3 linked regions of the Drosophila melanogaster genome follow. The protein of the gene in region 1 interacts with the protein of each later gene in a pairwise test. Each region holds a gene or a part of one and is shown in the gene's direction. Other genes may lie near its edges.

The links. The genes of interacting proteins can lie anywhere in the genome.
Region 2: the proteins of Usp2 (region 1) and Vti1b interact in a two-hybrid assay, tested with the Drosophila melanogaster proteins (one large-scale study listed by BioGRID).
Region 3: the proteins of Usp2 (region 1) and CG11286 interact in a two-hybrid assay, tested with the Drosophila melanogaster proteins (one large-scale study listed by BioGRID).

The regions. Positions count from the first base shown.
Region 1 is NC_004354.4:22,453,825-22,459,172, forward strand, and holds the start of Usp2 (ubiquitin specific protease 2), read left to right. Parts: upstream 1-1,978; 5' UTR 1,979-2,039; intron 2,040-2,621; exon of another isoform or gene 2,622-2,735; intron 2,736-3,066; exon of another isoform or gene 3,067-3,367; intron 3,368-3,602; 5' UTR 3,603-3,727; intron 3,728-3,789; 5' UTR 3,790-3,935; coding exon of another isoform or gene 3,936-4,436; intron 4,437-5,348. Other genes in the region: wap (wings apart), read right to left, coding at 1-366, 570-760. UniProt on the Drosophila melanogaster protein: Hydrolase that deubiquitinates polyubiquitinated target proteins. Required for preventing the activation of the Toll signaling cascades under unchallenged conditions. Essential for bodily calcium homeostasis.
Region 2 is NT_033777.3:18,397,917-18,401,350, forward strand, and holds Vti1b (vesicle transport through interaction with t-SNAREs 1b), read left to right. Parts: upstream 1-1,792; 5' UTR 1,793-1,875; coding exon 1,876-2,034; intron 2,035-2,094; coding exon 2,095-2,304; 3' UTR 2,305-2,423; downstream 2,424-3,434. Other genes in the region: Wdr37 (WD repeat domain 37), read right to left, coding at 2,911-3,434.
Region 3 is NT_033777.3:7,769,849-7,773,536, reverse strand, and holds CG11286 (uncharacterized protein), read left to right. Parts: upstream 1-1,780; 5' UTR 1,781-1,836; coding exon 1,837-2,144; coding exon of another isoform or gene 2,145-2,145; exon of another isoform or gene 2,146-2,203; coding exon 2,204-2,326; intron 2,327-2,385; coding exon 2,386-2,530; 3' UTR 2,531-2,677; downstream 2,678-3,688.

The DNA.
Region 1 (5,348 bases):
CCGGCCCGCGAAAAAGCAATGTCGTATACTTCCTTGTCATGGGCAATCAATTGCGTCTTCACGTGTCCTGCCACATAGACGCGAGCGTGCGGCTGTCCGGTCTCCAGTCCCCAGATAGTGCAGGTTGTGTCTATCGATGAGGTTCCCACCAGATTGGGATCCACCTCGTTCCAATCAAACGAAGTGAGGGGAGCGCAAAAGTCGCTGTTCTTGTTGTTATTCAGTACGCACTCGAGCCGCGTGTCCGGTTCCCCGGCACGCCACACCCGCAAGTAGTCGCCACTGGTGGCCAACAGATCCGGATAGACACCCTTGGAGTCCGGGATCCACATGATCTTGGTTGTCGGATATGGATGATCAAAGGTGCTATTTGAAGAAGAAATAATCTGTCAGTGAGGAAGGGGATTTCGGAAAAATGGTTCGTATAACCAAATAACTATTCATATTTAAAATGATTACAATAATATCAAAACTGCTTATCATTTTATATTATTTTTTAAAGATAATATACGAAATATAAAATGAAAACAGAAAGTAGAAGGGATCAGCTAAACAAATATTCGGTATACCTCTTAGCACTAAATTCGCTGGTGTCCTCGTCCAGGCTGATGATCTGTACCTTGTTGTTGTACTCCTCGATGAAGCTGCCCAGTGCGAGCCGGAATCGCTTGTCCGGCCTTACACTCCAGTTCATGGAGTACAGTGGCCATGGCGCGAGATATTTGTAGATCTCCTTGCGCTTTCCGGCGGTCGAGGACATAACTGTAGATATGGAAAAGGATCAGCATGAGAATCTAGGACTCGTATTCGAATTCGGAGTCTGGATCAAGAACCCACCTGAACTGTGTGATTGGATACGGATATCCAGACCAAGACGAAGATCAAGACTTGGATGACAAGGTGCTGCTGAGTTTTCTCAATGCCGTTTAGCTGGTGGCCGGCCTAATGACGACGAGCTCCTTTGGTGATGATGACGACAATGATGATGATGGCTGATAATGACCACTCACAGCAGCGGACAACTCAAGAAAACTTCATGGAATGGGAAACAAAGGTCTTTGCTTGCCACTCGCATTTGCACACTTTACCGGCTTGCTTTTCCTTGGCTTTTCCTGTAGCTTTCCTCTTTTCCGAGATTCACATCATTTTGTGCACTGGCAGTATTGCCAGCTCGCCCGTTTTCCGACTAGAGTCCGTCCGTCCGTTTGCCGTCGTTATTCCGGCGAAATTTAGGTCTGGAGGACACCGATCGGAGAAGTCGAACTGTACTCAATCAACAGGGCGAAGGAATTAATTCAACGGCGTGCACATCGCGACCGCAACGCATCCGTTTGGCCAGCAAGTGGAATTGTGCCCGGCACTCCGTATAAGGTGGCAACACTAAAACGTAATGCGACGCGAAAATTCGTTTGTGGCGGTCCTTCGATGGGCAAGCTGCCCCGGTTTTACCTTATAATTTGGTTAAGTTTCCAATCCAACCACAGTTTTCTGAAACAGCACGGTCGGAATTACACGGAATTAGTATTCAAAGAACTTTTAATACATTCTTTTCGACAGAATTTTCACACAAAAACAGTGTGACCGCGCAGATAGCTATAAGAAATACCTTGTGCAAAATCATTGTTATATACCAGATAAACAAAATACTATTTATTTAAAACAAAATTCTGTATTAAATTATATTGAACTGTAATATATAATATTCTAGGCTTGACTTTAGTCTAATTAAGAATTGAAAGTTGTGTGTTTATTTCCACCCAGAAATCTTTTCCCTGGAACTGGAAATATAATTCGATTGGCGTTTTGTGCAAAAACTATTAAGTTTGAAGCATATTTTTCAAATCCCATATGATGGAATTCTGTGTAAATGGAACATTAAGAAGGCCTCTGCTCATCTGTTAGCAAGTACACCAACCATACATGCATCAGGCATAGTTCTTCGATAGTTATCGAAGAACAGTTAACCTATCTTCAAAATCTAGTGACGGTGACTTCGTTTCGGCGTGCGGCCACACTAGCAAAAAAAATAGGATTAAAAAGTGAGTTCTGTGTTGTGCAAAAAAAAATTGCTTTAATTCGACCGGAAAAAGGCCCTTTTGCGGTGCAAAACGATGATGTCGCTTGGCTGGCGTTAAAATTTGTGGGATATCATTAAGAGACGGGACTTTCGGCAGCGCGACCTCGTTCGCCTCGTGATGTTCGTTTTGCGGTCAAATTTTCACCTTCGCCACCCATCCCCTCGCCCATTTGTTTTCTATCTTAGTATGAATTTATACACTTTATATACGCATTTGCCTTTGTACATTTTTTGTGTTCCGTGGATGTATGAAAAATTCCTAATAGCCGTCGTCGTCACTTTTCCACTTTCCATTTTGAGAAAGATATTTCACTTTGCGTAATTCGTACGCTGCCTGGCGCCTGTGTGTGTGTGTGTGACCGTGTAGCCAATAGTGCTACATCGCTCGCGCGCACAATCTCGGCACTGTTTTACTACTACCCTGGCTCGCCCCCTCTCCCTCACACATTTCACTGCCAAACGTACGCGCGTGTGTGAGTGCACCTTTTAAAAATAGAATCTCATTTCGTTTCGTTTTATATATTGTTTTTGCTTTTATCACAATTATTTCGATTTTGACGTGCAAAGAATGTATGAGTTTTGTGTCTAAAGAAAGCGGCTAATCGTGGTAACCGTTGAAAAAGTTCAGCTACACCTGTGGGTACTCGCGTGCGATTGTGTGAGCTTGGATAATTCAATTTTTTTAAGTGAATGTGTGTGAATGGGCTGTAGTGTAGTTGTAGCATTTTATGAACGAAAGATCGATTCGTGAAAGTGTGGCCATCTTATGTTAGTTAAGGCCTACCACCCGCTTCTCCCATCCCCCTGCACTACACCACCCGCAGAGCCTTACACTTGTGCATGTATGTATGTAAAAGCAACGGTTTTCTCGAATGGGAGCGTAGACAGCCTGGCGGCACACACACGAACGTAACTTCATTTTAAGTGTTACCGCATAAGGACAGCCGTCCGCGTCCCACACCGCCCCTACCCAGTTCAGCCAGCCAGCGTCACACTGAAGTTGTTGTTATGGCAAACTTGAAAACGGCTTTTCTCTATTTATTACTATTTTGCGATTGTAAACAAGTGTCGATCGGTTTTCCACTCTCCGCCTAACTGTTCATCAGGGACAAATCGAAGGCCACAAATTCCCGAGATGTGCGTGGGTGTTTTTTGCGCTTGTGAAAAATCAATCGTGGGAAGGGGAAGAAAGACGAGGAGTTCCGCTTGAAGGGTTTCGCATTATCTTATGCAGAATTCAAGATAACCTTGCGCCTGCAAGCCTTCATTTCTCCAATAAGTGAATCAAATGTAAACGGACAAGGTCTTGACAATTTAGAATTGTTTGCACTACTAAAAGTACCGTCATAAAAATGTGGTTTTGATTAAAAGATGTTCCCTCATTAGATCATTTACACTGGGCATTTTCCAATCTTTTGGGTATATTTTTGATAAAGAAGTTAGAATATTATGGTCCGATTAGTATGAGGTTTTGAATTCGAATTAATTTGATAAATAGGGCCTTCTAAAATTCCATTCTTTTCAGTTTCGCCTACAACTTTAGCAGCAACAAGAACGGGTCTTAGATGTAGCACATATGCAGCCATTAAGTTTAAAACTAACCTAATCCTAGGGATATAATGCGATGATAATGTAAATAACGTGACGCAGGTGGGTACATGGACACGTTGACGCTGTGATTTCCATTAATGAAACTGAATTCCGCCGTATAGCCCACGAAAAACAGAGAAAGCGAAGCAAGACCGGAAACAAAACAGGAATCATCCGCTCAGCAATACCACGTGCTGCCAGCAGACCAAGGACACTCTCGACTTCATCCGGAACCCGGGGCTTGATCACTGCCGCTGCTGCCATTAATATGCGTGTAATTGCGCCGCGTAGATCGTCAACGTCAGCGGCGGGCAGCGGCAGTCTCTACGGTACATCGGCGGTCGGCACCTCCAGCGGCAGCACCACCAGCAGCAACTCCACCAGCGGCAGTCACCACATCAGCATCACCGGAAGCGGTGCGGTGGATCGGACCAGCGGAGGCGCCGCCACGAACGGTTACTCCCGCATATCGAGCAGCTACGACCGCGGCAGCAGTCTGTCCAAGTGGCTGCCCACCTCGTCCGGCGGCTCCAACTCGTCGGGCTACGGCAGCAGCTACTATCCCACCTCTTACTCAACGTTCTCCGCCAACAGCGGCTCCTCAAGCGCCTCGTATGCGCCGCGCTCCAGTGTGCAGAGGAGCAGCGTTGGTACCACGTCGTCAACGTCGTATATGAGCGGCGGATCCGGCAGCAGCTCGTCCGCCTACCGCACCTCCTCGTATCTGAGCGGGTCCAGCTATGATTCACCTACGTACAGCCGATACGGAGTGAGTAACACCTTGCTTACCTCATAAGATGTACCTTGATTTACGATACACCCACTCCTGGTCGATTACTCTTAAGTTTGGTGGCTGATCTCTTGGTTTTCAGTAATATCTCTATGCGAATCCTGTATGCTGGGCCCCTGGTATAACTCTACTCACTGCCTTATCCCCGAAATCATCATGTGTTATGTATCTGCATATTTGGTGAATACGCATTTTATTCAATATGAAAGCTCGATAAATTGGTGTGAAGGCAGTTAATCAGTAGCATGAAGTTTAATGTTATGTTGTTTAATTCGAATATAGTCAAAAACATCAAATCCTATTCACTTAAAAGATAATTTGCAATGCGATTTAGAAATATGTCATTAAAGGTCAACATAATGTCTTGATTTGAATCGATTTGATGGTTGCTTTAAGTACTTGTACATTCAAAGAAATAGCAGTGCAAGAGAAACTAAGAAATACAACGGTATTTTTCCATGTCCCTTTTCGGGATCGACCTTTTATTCCACCTTTTTTTGTAAAATGGAATGTTTAGATAGAAAAAAAAAGTCCCGTTAGTTTTTCGTGTTCTCCTTATTTTATTTACATTCTTGAGCAAATTCACAACTTTTAGGCTGTTCATTAAAATAGCAGTGTCTGGTTTTCTCAAACGTAAAGTCCCGAAATTATCAATATTTTCTAAAAAGTGTGTTTGGTTAAGTTAATTCGTATATTTAAAAGATCAAAAAATTAAAATAAATAAAAAATATATATTTTAGTGGGTAGAGGACAGCACTACTCCCAGAAGAAAAGAATGTTAATTCTTAAGCTAAGAAAGGAAGGAAAAACATATAAGGACATTCAAAAAACCATTGAATGTTCTGCGAAAACCGTGGTTCCATCGTAAATCCACAGATATCGATGAGGATC
Region 2 (3,434 bases), on another chromosome or scaffold:
ATTATATAGAGCTGTAAAACAGGAGCCAGCTAATAAATCGGCTAGTATCAACTCCTTATAAATAGCCTCTTTACGCAATACTATTGAATACAGAAAAATAAGCCATCAAAGTCAGCATTATTTGCAGTGTTTGCCGACCACTTCCCCGATAAGCCATACATATAGAGTTACGTAACTGGAGATCGGCGACTCGAGTGGCCGGGCTTTGGCTTTATATAGCTAATTAACTGGACGATCGACCAGGAGCACTTGTGTGCAACTCGGCAAAATACTATACTTCAGATGTGAAATTGCTAGATTTCTAGAATCGATCAGATTTTCCCCATTCATAAACTGGGTCTGCGACTGTGGCTAATCAGCGCAATACTGATTGATCGATTGGAAGTGCCATTGGACAATTTATAGAGCGATCCATAAATCATAATCGACTGGTATTTATTGTGCGCTATTCGCAACTACTCGAGCCCAGCTTTTAGGGTTTCCGTTCCAGCTGGAGATCTTTGTGGGGACGCAAGGCTTCTGGAAACCGAGACCCCGAGAAAAAGATCACATGATAGAACCCCCCCATATGATTATGATGATTGCATAAAACTCGAAAACTCGCGACTTTGCAAAGAGAGCGCGACTCACAGATACTCTGGAGAGTATTATATTCACATGACAAGGGTTCGACTAACACACACACACACTGCGAACGTAGTAGGTGCGTACCTGAGTATCTCAGAGATACTCGGGGCTTACGAAAGAGATAGCGCTACGCGTATCTGCCGCTCTGACTTTAGCTGCGACTTCTGGCAGGTGTTTGCACAATGGGTCCCATGACAGGTGTGCCCCGCAGCCCCCAGTAAGCTCACTTTTCCGACCAGTAGCTGTCAGCAGCCAGCATCACGTGCCAAAGTGCATTCAAATTGGGCTTAATTGCACATACTCCCTGCTGCCAAAGCACGTGCTTTGGATGGCTAGTTTACAGGGGATATGGGATATATACGGGTGGATAACCCGTGGCACAGCTTTTACACCTCGAACCCGCCGGGTTTTTCCAGTTGCTTCGAGTTTTTTCGAGTTTTTCGCTTACCTTCACAGCTCCGAAAACGCTTTTTATGTCAAAGACACACCAGATTCGATTCCCCGCGAGTGCGAGCGATAAATTTAGAACTTGTTTGTTGCCGAGCGAGAGTATCTTTATTCGAATCTGAATCTGAATGGAGCGCAGCACACGTCTGCTCACCGCCAGCGATCGACTGCGTTTAAATTTGGCACTCGCTGCCGCGACTTCGGTTCGAAAATCTCGCGATCGCCTCGAAATGCCTCGCACTCTCTGTTACTCAGCACACACACCCTGTGAATTCAGGCGGCTCTCTCGGCGCGGGCATGCCAACTATGTATGATCGGTGACCGTTATCGCAAATCAGAAATCGACAAATACCCGTACTAAAGTCAAAATCCTCGAGTGCTACATGTGTCTACCAAAAAAATGGTCAGTTTCCAAAAACCTAATCACTCTTAGGATCACCCAATTAATCACCATTAATATGTGATATTTTTGCAGTAACTAGATGTGCTTGTTGATAGTGAGGAAGCCAATCTCAAAAAAAAACCAATTGAACTAACACTTCTTACAATTTAAACTTTTAATTAGAATTTAGAATATAAAATAATATTAAGCTAATTTGGTAACAGTTTCATTTTAAATTTCAACTGTTTTAAGTGCTGTAAAGTGCATAAAGTGTTAACAGGTGGCTCCACGCACAACGCGTTAGTACCTTACCAAATAGCGTTTTCACTGCACCGCTCACCACGGCCACACTCTGCCTTTGTTTTGTTTTGATATTCCCACTGCATCGCATTTAATTTATTAAAAGCTGTTACCAAATTATGTCCTACGCCGGCTATAGCCAGCTGCCCAGCGGCAGCGACCAGGAGCGCAGGCAGGCGCAGCTCGCGGCCAGCACCTACGACGTGCTACAGCGGACGACGGACAGTATCCAGCGATCCAACCAGATTGCCATCGAAACGGAGAACATGGGGGCGGAGGTAATTACCCAGATAGTAGCCATTAACAGGGCTAACTAATGCTCGCTTACGCATCAACAGGTACTCGGCGAACTGGGCGAGCAGAGGGAGTCGCTGCTACGCACCACGCGCCGCCTGGAGGACGCCGATCAGGATCTGTCCAAATCGAGGGTCATCATTCGGAAGTTGAGCAGGGAGGTGCTCTACAACAAGATCATCCTAATCCTGATTATCATTCTGGAGGTGGGCATACTCGTCGGCTTGCTGGTGCTGAAGTTCGCTCACCTGTGAGCCAATGCCATTCTATTCCAAAGTCGTAACCACCAAACAGGCGATGGACTATATATACCTATTAATCGTTACGAATTCTTTGTCCTAGTTAATAAGCTTATAAATGTATATACTCCACTAAAATGCACTTCCAATTCAAAAAGGTCAGTTTTAGGATATACCCAGCGATGAATCGGGTGGTTGATTATGTTTATTCATGTTGGCTAAAGCGTTAATGCCTTAGACGTCTATAATATGTATTATGGTAGTAAAACACAGATAAAATCGGGTCTGGACATCGGAAGCTCTGCACTCCGAAGAGTTTAGCCCAGTCCCAACGCATATACATACGTATGCTATAACAATGATAATATGTAGTTCGTGCAGCACGCTATGCCACGACTATTTGGCAAAAAGCAACGTTAATTACATTCAGTGGGCGACAACGAGATAGTAGAACATCCTGAACAATGTCTGCATAATACTTGATCTATGATAAACGGTTACATATATGTAAGTATGTGGGCATCGCTTTGGGGATGCTTCTTTGTTCGAGAGATGTTTGGGATTTCGCAGAGCTGCGCCTCCTCATTCCTTTGGTGCAGCAGCTCTCCGCTTCAGTTGCCTTCAATTGTCCTTCGGAAGAACGATGGACCAGCCGAAAACGCGGCGATCGAAGCCGCAGGAGAAGAGATCGCAGTCCAGCAGCGGCTCCTCCGCCCACGCTACAGACGACACCATCCGTCGGTGGCCCTGCCGACTGGTCCGTGGCAATCGGGCGACTCTCTGCCCGTTCAAATCGAACAGTCGGATCTGTCGATTGTCATGCGGTATGGCGATAATTCCACCAGTGGAGACCGCCAAACGATTGACCGAGGAATCCGTTCGAATGGTGGCCAAGGCGGATCGCATGTTGCGCAGCTCCCAGACCTTGATTGTACGATCATCTGATCCGGACACCACCTTGTCGTCGCGTGCGAACACACTGGACGTAACCGTTTCCGTGTGCCCTTGGAAGACGGAGACCGCTGGGATTGCCTCTCGGAAGTCCCATAGACGGAACGTAGTGTCCCTGGAAGCGGTGACCACCAGGCGCTGGGTGGGATGTGCCGACACGTGGGTGAGCTCGTGGTCGTGCCCAGTGAGCGGCT
Region 3 (3,688 bases), on another chromosome or scaffold:
TCCGAGTGCTCAGCAAACTTATTTCCGTAATGGACTCGGCATCAGGCCCAAAATCAATTTTCATGTCTGGTTCAATGTCATTTCGAAGTGGCGTACAATTACACCCGTAATCCCCTAGCATATGGCAGTAAATCTTGTTGTTTACACTCTCGTTGACCATCGACCATTGTCAATGTTTATTGTTTATTGTTTAACGCTTTTTCTGAATGACGTTTATATTTATATTTATATTAATATTATCAATGGCGGTGAACACATTCTATTAAATGAAATCCGCTATCTTTAAATGCAGTTTGTGGGAATTAGTAGCAGATTGTGTTAGTTTGTGTGCCCAGATTTGACCAACCACTCTGTTATTTGGCCATTTCCCCATTGGCAGATTGAGTTTGCATTTAATACCTTATACGTGATCCATCTGGTAATTAATGTCCCTCGTAGGCCGGTCGGTGAAATAAATTGGATTTGTTGTTAACATTTTAGTCACTGTTTTGTCATTACGCGCTGTGGGAAAGCTGCTGTCAATTTTGTGGCGACCAAAATGACGGTTGGCCAAAAGGCCAAGGGAAAACATCCACAAATTGATGAGATGAGCACTTTAAAGGGAAGTCGACCTGTCTCGGCATTAATAATCCCAGTGCGTGATCAAACTTCAGTCAGCCAATTGCTGGCTACTTATGCCCATAAATAGTTCATTGCATTTCCATTAGGCACTTTGCGGCAATCCGGACGACTGTTCGTTGACCTAATGCGAGCAATTCATTATCTGCAATTAGAGTTCAATTCACAGGCTCTGCCTGGCCAAAGTTCAAGGATCGGCTAGGCCGGCCTCTTGAGGCCATAACACATCATTAATGGTCTCTGCGGCCGGTTGCCAAAGAAAAGTGTAACAATAATGGGCTCGTTTGTTTTCATTGCACACGTGCCGGAGCCCCGACTTTGGTCAAATGTGCTCTTAATAGACCCAGCGTTTTGGGCCATGTTTTTGCTGTGCAAACATTGGCCAACTCTCCTGTCGGCGGCAGCTCCTATTCCCCCTTCAGTGGGCCACTCTTGTGGTCCGGCTGATGGCTCTGTTCCGTCAACTCGGGCGGTTCAAAAAATGAAATTAAATGCGCGAATGCATGTTTAATGGCGCGAAAATGTGTGGAATCTTTTTGAGAATAATTTTCGACCACACCTGGATAATGGGTGCAAATGTGGGTAGATTAGCAGTCGCACTACTCCTCATAGATTATTAGGAGGGACCATTATTAAGGGTACAAATAAGTCAATGAAAGTTCGAACAGGGCCCTGTTAGTTTTTCATTTTTTTAGGGACATCATAATTACAAAGGCTATCCAATCGCATTGAGAACTTTCGAGTTCGCAACTCTATTTCGGGCTCACTTGCAAAGTTTTTTTTACAATGGATATCCTTTAGCATAATTGCATGCATATTGCCTGCAATAATTGCATGTGATATTATTACAGAGATTCCTTTTTTGGTTTTTATTCCACGCCACTTTGAACCAGCCTGATTGTTGAATTAAAAAATTAATGAATGATTTTTGAAATGCCAATGTGAATGGCCGTGTAAATAAAATACAGCAGCCTGACCCCTTTCCATATATCGTCTGATGAATCCTCATGATGTTCTCGGCTGTTTCCATGTATATTTATAAACACCAGCGGCTTAAAACAATAATTCCCCAAGGACTCAGATGTTGTTGACGGTGACAACTATGTGGCGTATTTATTAAAGCGTTAATTGTCGAATCAAAGTAGTCACCGCATAAATAAGCCATTTAATATATCTCAAAAATCTCCAGTTTCCCAAGAGCAGTATCAAATTTTCAACATGTCCGCGACGAGCCTTGTAACCATTAAGTCGATCCCCTCAGCGGGAGATGTCCTGCGGGGTAAAAATGTACCAGTTCACCGCCTCAACGCGAAGTTTGTGGCCAAGGCCCAGGAGAAGGCTAAGAAAGTGGAGGAATTCCTGACTAGGACGAAGACCACTTCGTTGGTTTCCTTGTCAGGACTTGCTTCCCGATATGAGTTCCATCGTCTCCAGGAGCTCGACGAGTGGTATGAGCCAAGGATCAAGTTCCACGACGAGGCCGATGCCAGTTTGCATCCCAGCTACGATATAAAGCACTTTCAGTAGTCAGTTAAGAAAGAACTTGCTGAGTTACTTAGGTTTCCTGACACACCATTATTTCCAGCGATCTTAATTGCTATGTGCGGTATCTGGACTCCAAAGCGAAATATGATAGGCAGTTCCTTCACGAAATGGAGCACATTATTGCCAATCAACGCAATATCTGCGACCAGTTTTTCCTGAAGAAGTAAGCTAAAAGTTAGAAATGATAACATAAATTAACCGGGACTTTCGTGGCTTTTCTAGAATCCTGTGCTATAAAACAATGTGGCCCCCACTGCATACAAAGAGGGAACTGAATAACTTTGTCTCAAAATTCTTTCAACTGCCTCCTAAGGAAAAACGTCGCGTCGAGTATCTGTTGAAAACGGATTTAAGTCTGGGTTGCTAAAACTGATCCAATTGCAAAGTAAATGAGCCTTTTTATTCCACTTGGAAATGGTTTAATTAGCTCATTTAATTTTGCAATTATTCTCTGCAAAACTGATAAAATTACCTTATGGAAAATTGTACAGCCAATAAATTTAATTATGCAATTAAAGCCTTTTTTATAATTTCGCTGCAAAGTTAGTGAGCTAACAAATTGGATGGCTGGCGTAAGAACTGTAAGAAAATGTATTTTATGATTACTTGTTAAATTTTAATAGGATCTCGTTTACAAAAAGGTTAGTCAATCGGACAGCAACTAAATAGTTTTGAATAAAATCCGCATTTGTTTAATTATTCCACTAAATTACATTTAAACAAACTGCCGTTTGTGCATATTAAATATTTGAGCTGCGCTCATAAATAAATTCAAACAATGAATTATTATATTGTTAAACTGTGTAACTATGTGAGCAGATTCATGTTTAAAAGCAATGCAATTGTTTCGACCTCTTTTTACAAGTTACCGATAAGGGATAAATGTGTGCGTGTGTGATTGTATGCGTTTGTGATTGTGTGCGTTGACAGGAAGTGCGTCATTTGTCAAATGCTATTTTATGACCATTTTTTAGCCGTTCAGTCGAGTTTTGTTTGCACCGTGTATACACCTGAAAAAGAGCAAATTTACAAATGTTTACGCAGTGAACAATGACCAGAAACGCCATGTGAATTTGCTCTTTAATTCAGTTATGCCCTTGGCTGAGTTTCTTCTTTAAAATTAATCAAATAGAGTTTCGATTTATTGTTTGGTTTTCGCATAGGCCACAAAAAATAAACAACCATGAATAACTGGTCAGCCGAGGGTAATTTGCAAAGGTTTCACAATTTGAAATCGGAGCTGTGAATGCATTCAGGCCTGTCATTAAATCAAATATTTGTTTTCAATGTGACTTATCAATTTACAGGCATTAGACACAAGGATACAGGGATTTAATCATTTTGCAAGAATTTAGCTCAGGCTAAGCAAACTAGGAATATTTTCCGCTCCAATTCACGCATCACCCGATATTAAATTAAAAACTGAAGAACATCCTTGCGTCCTTTTCGGCGCCCCCAACACTTGGAAACTGTCATCCCATAGACGCTAATTCATGCTCGAGTGGGCTTTCAACCTCGATGGCCA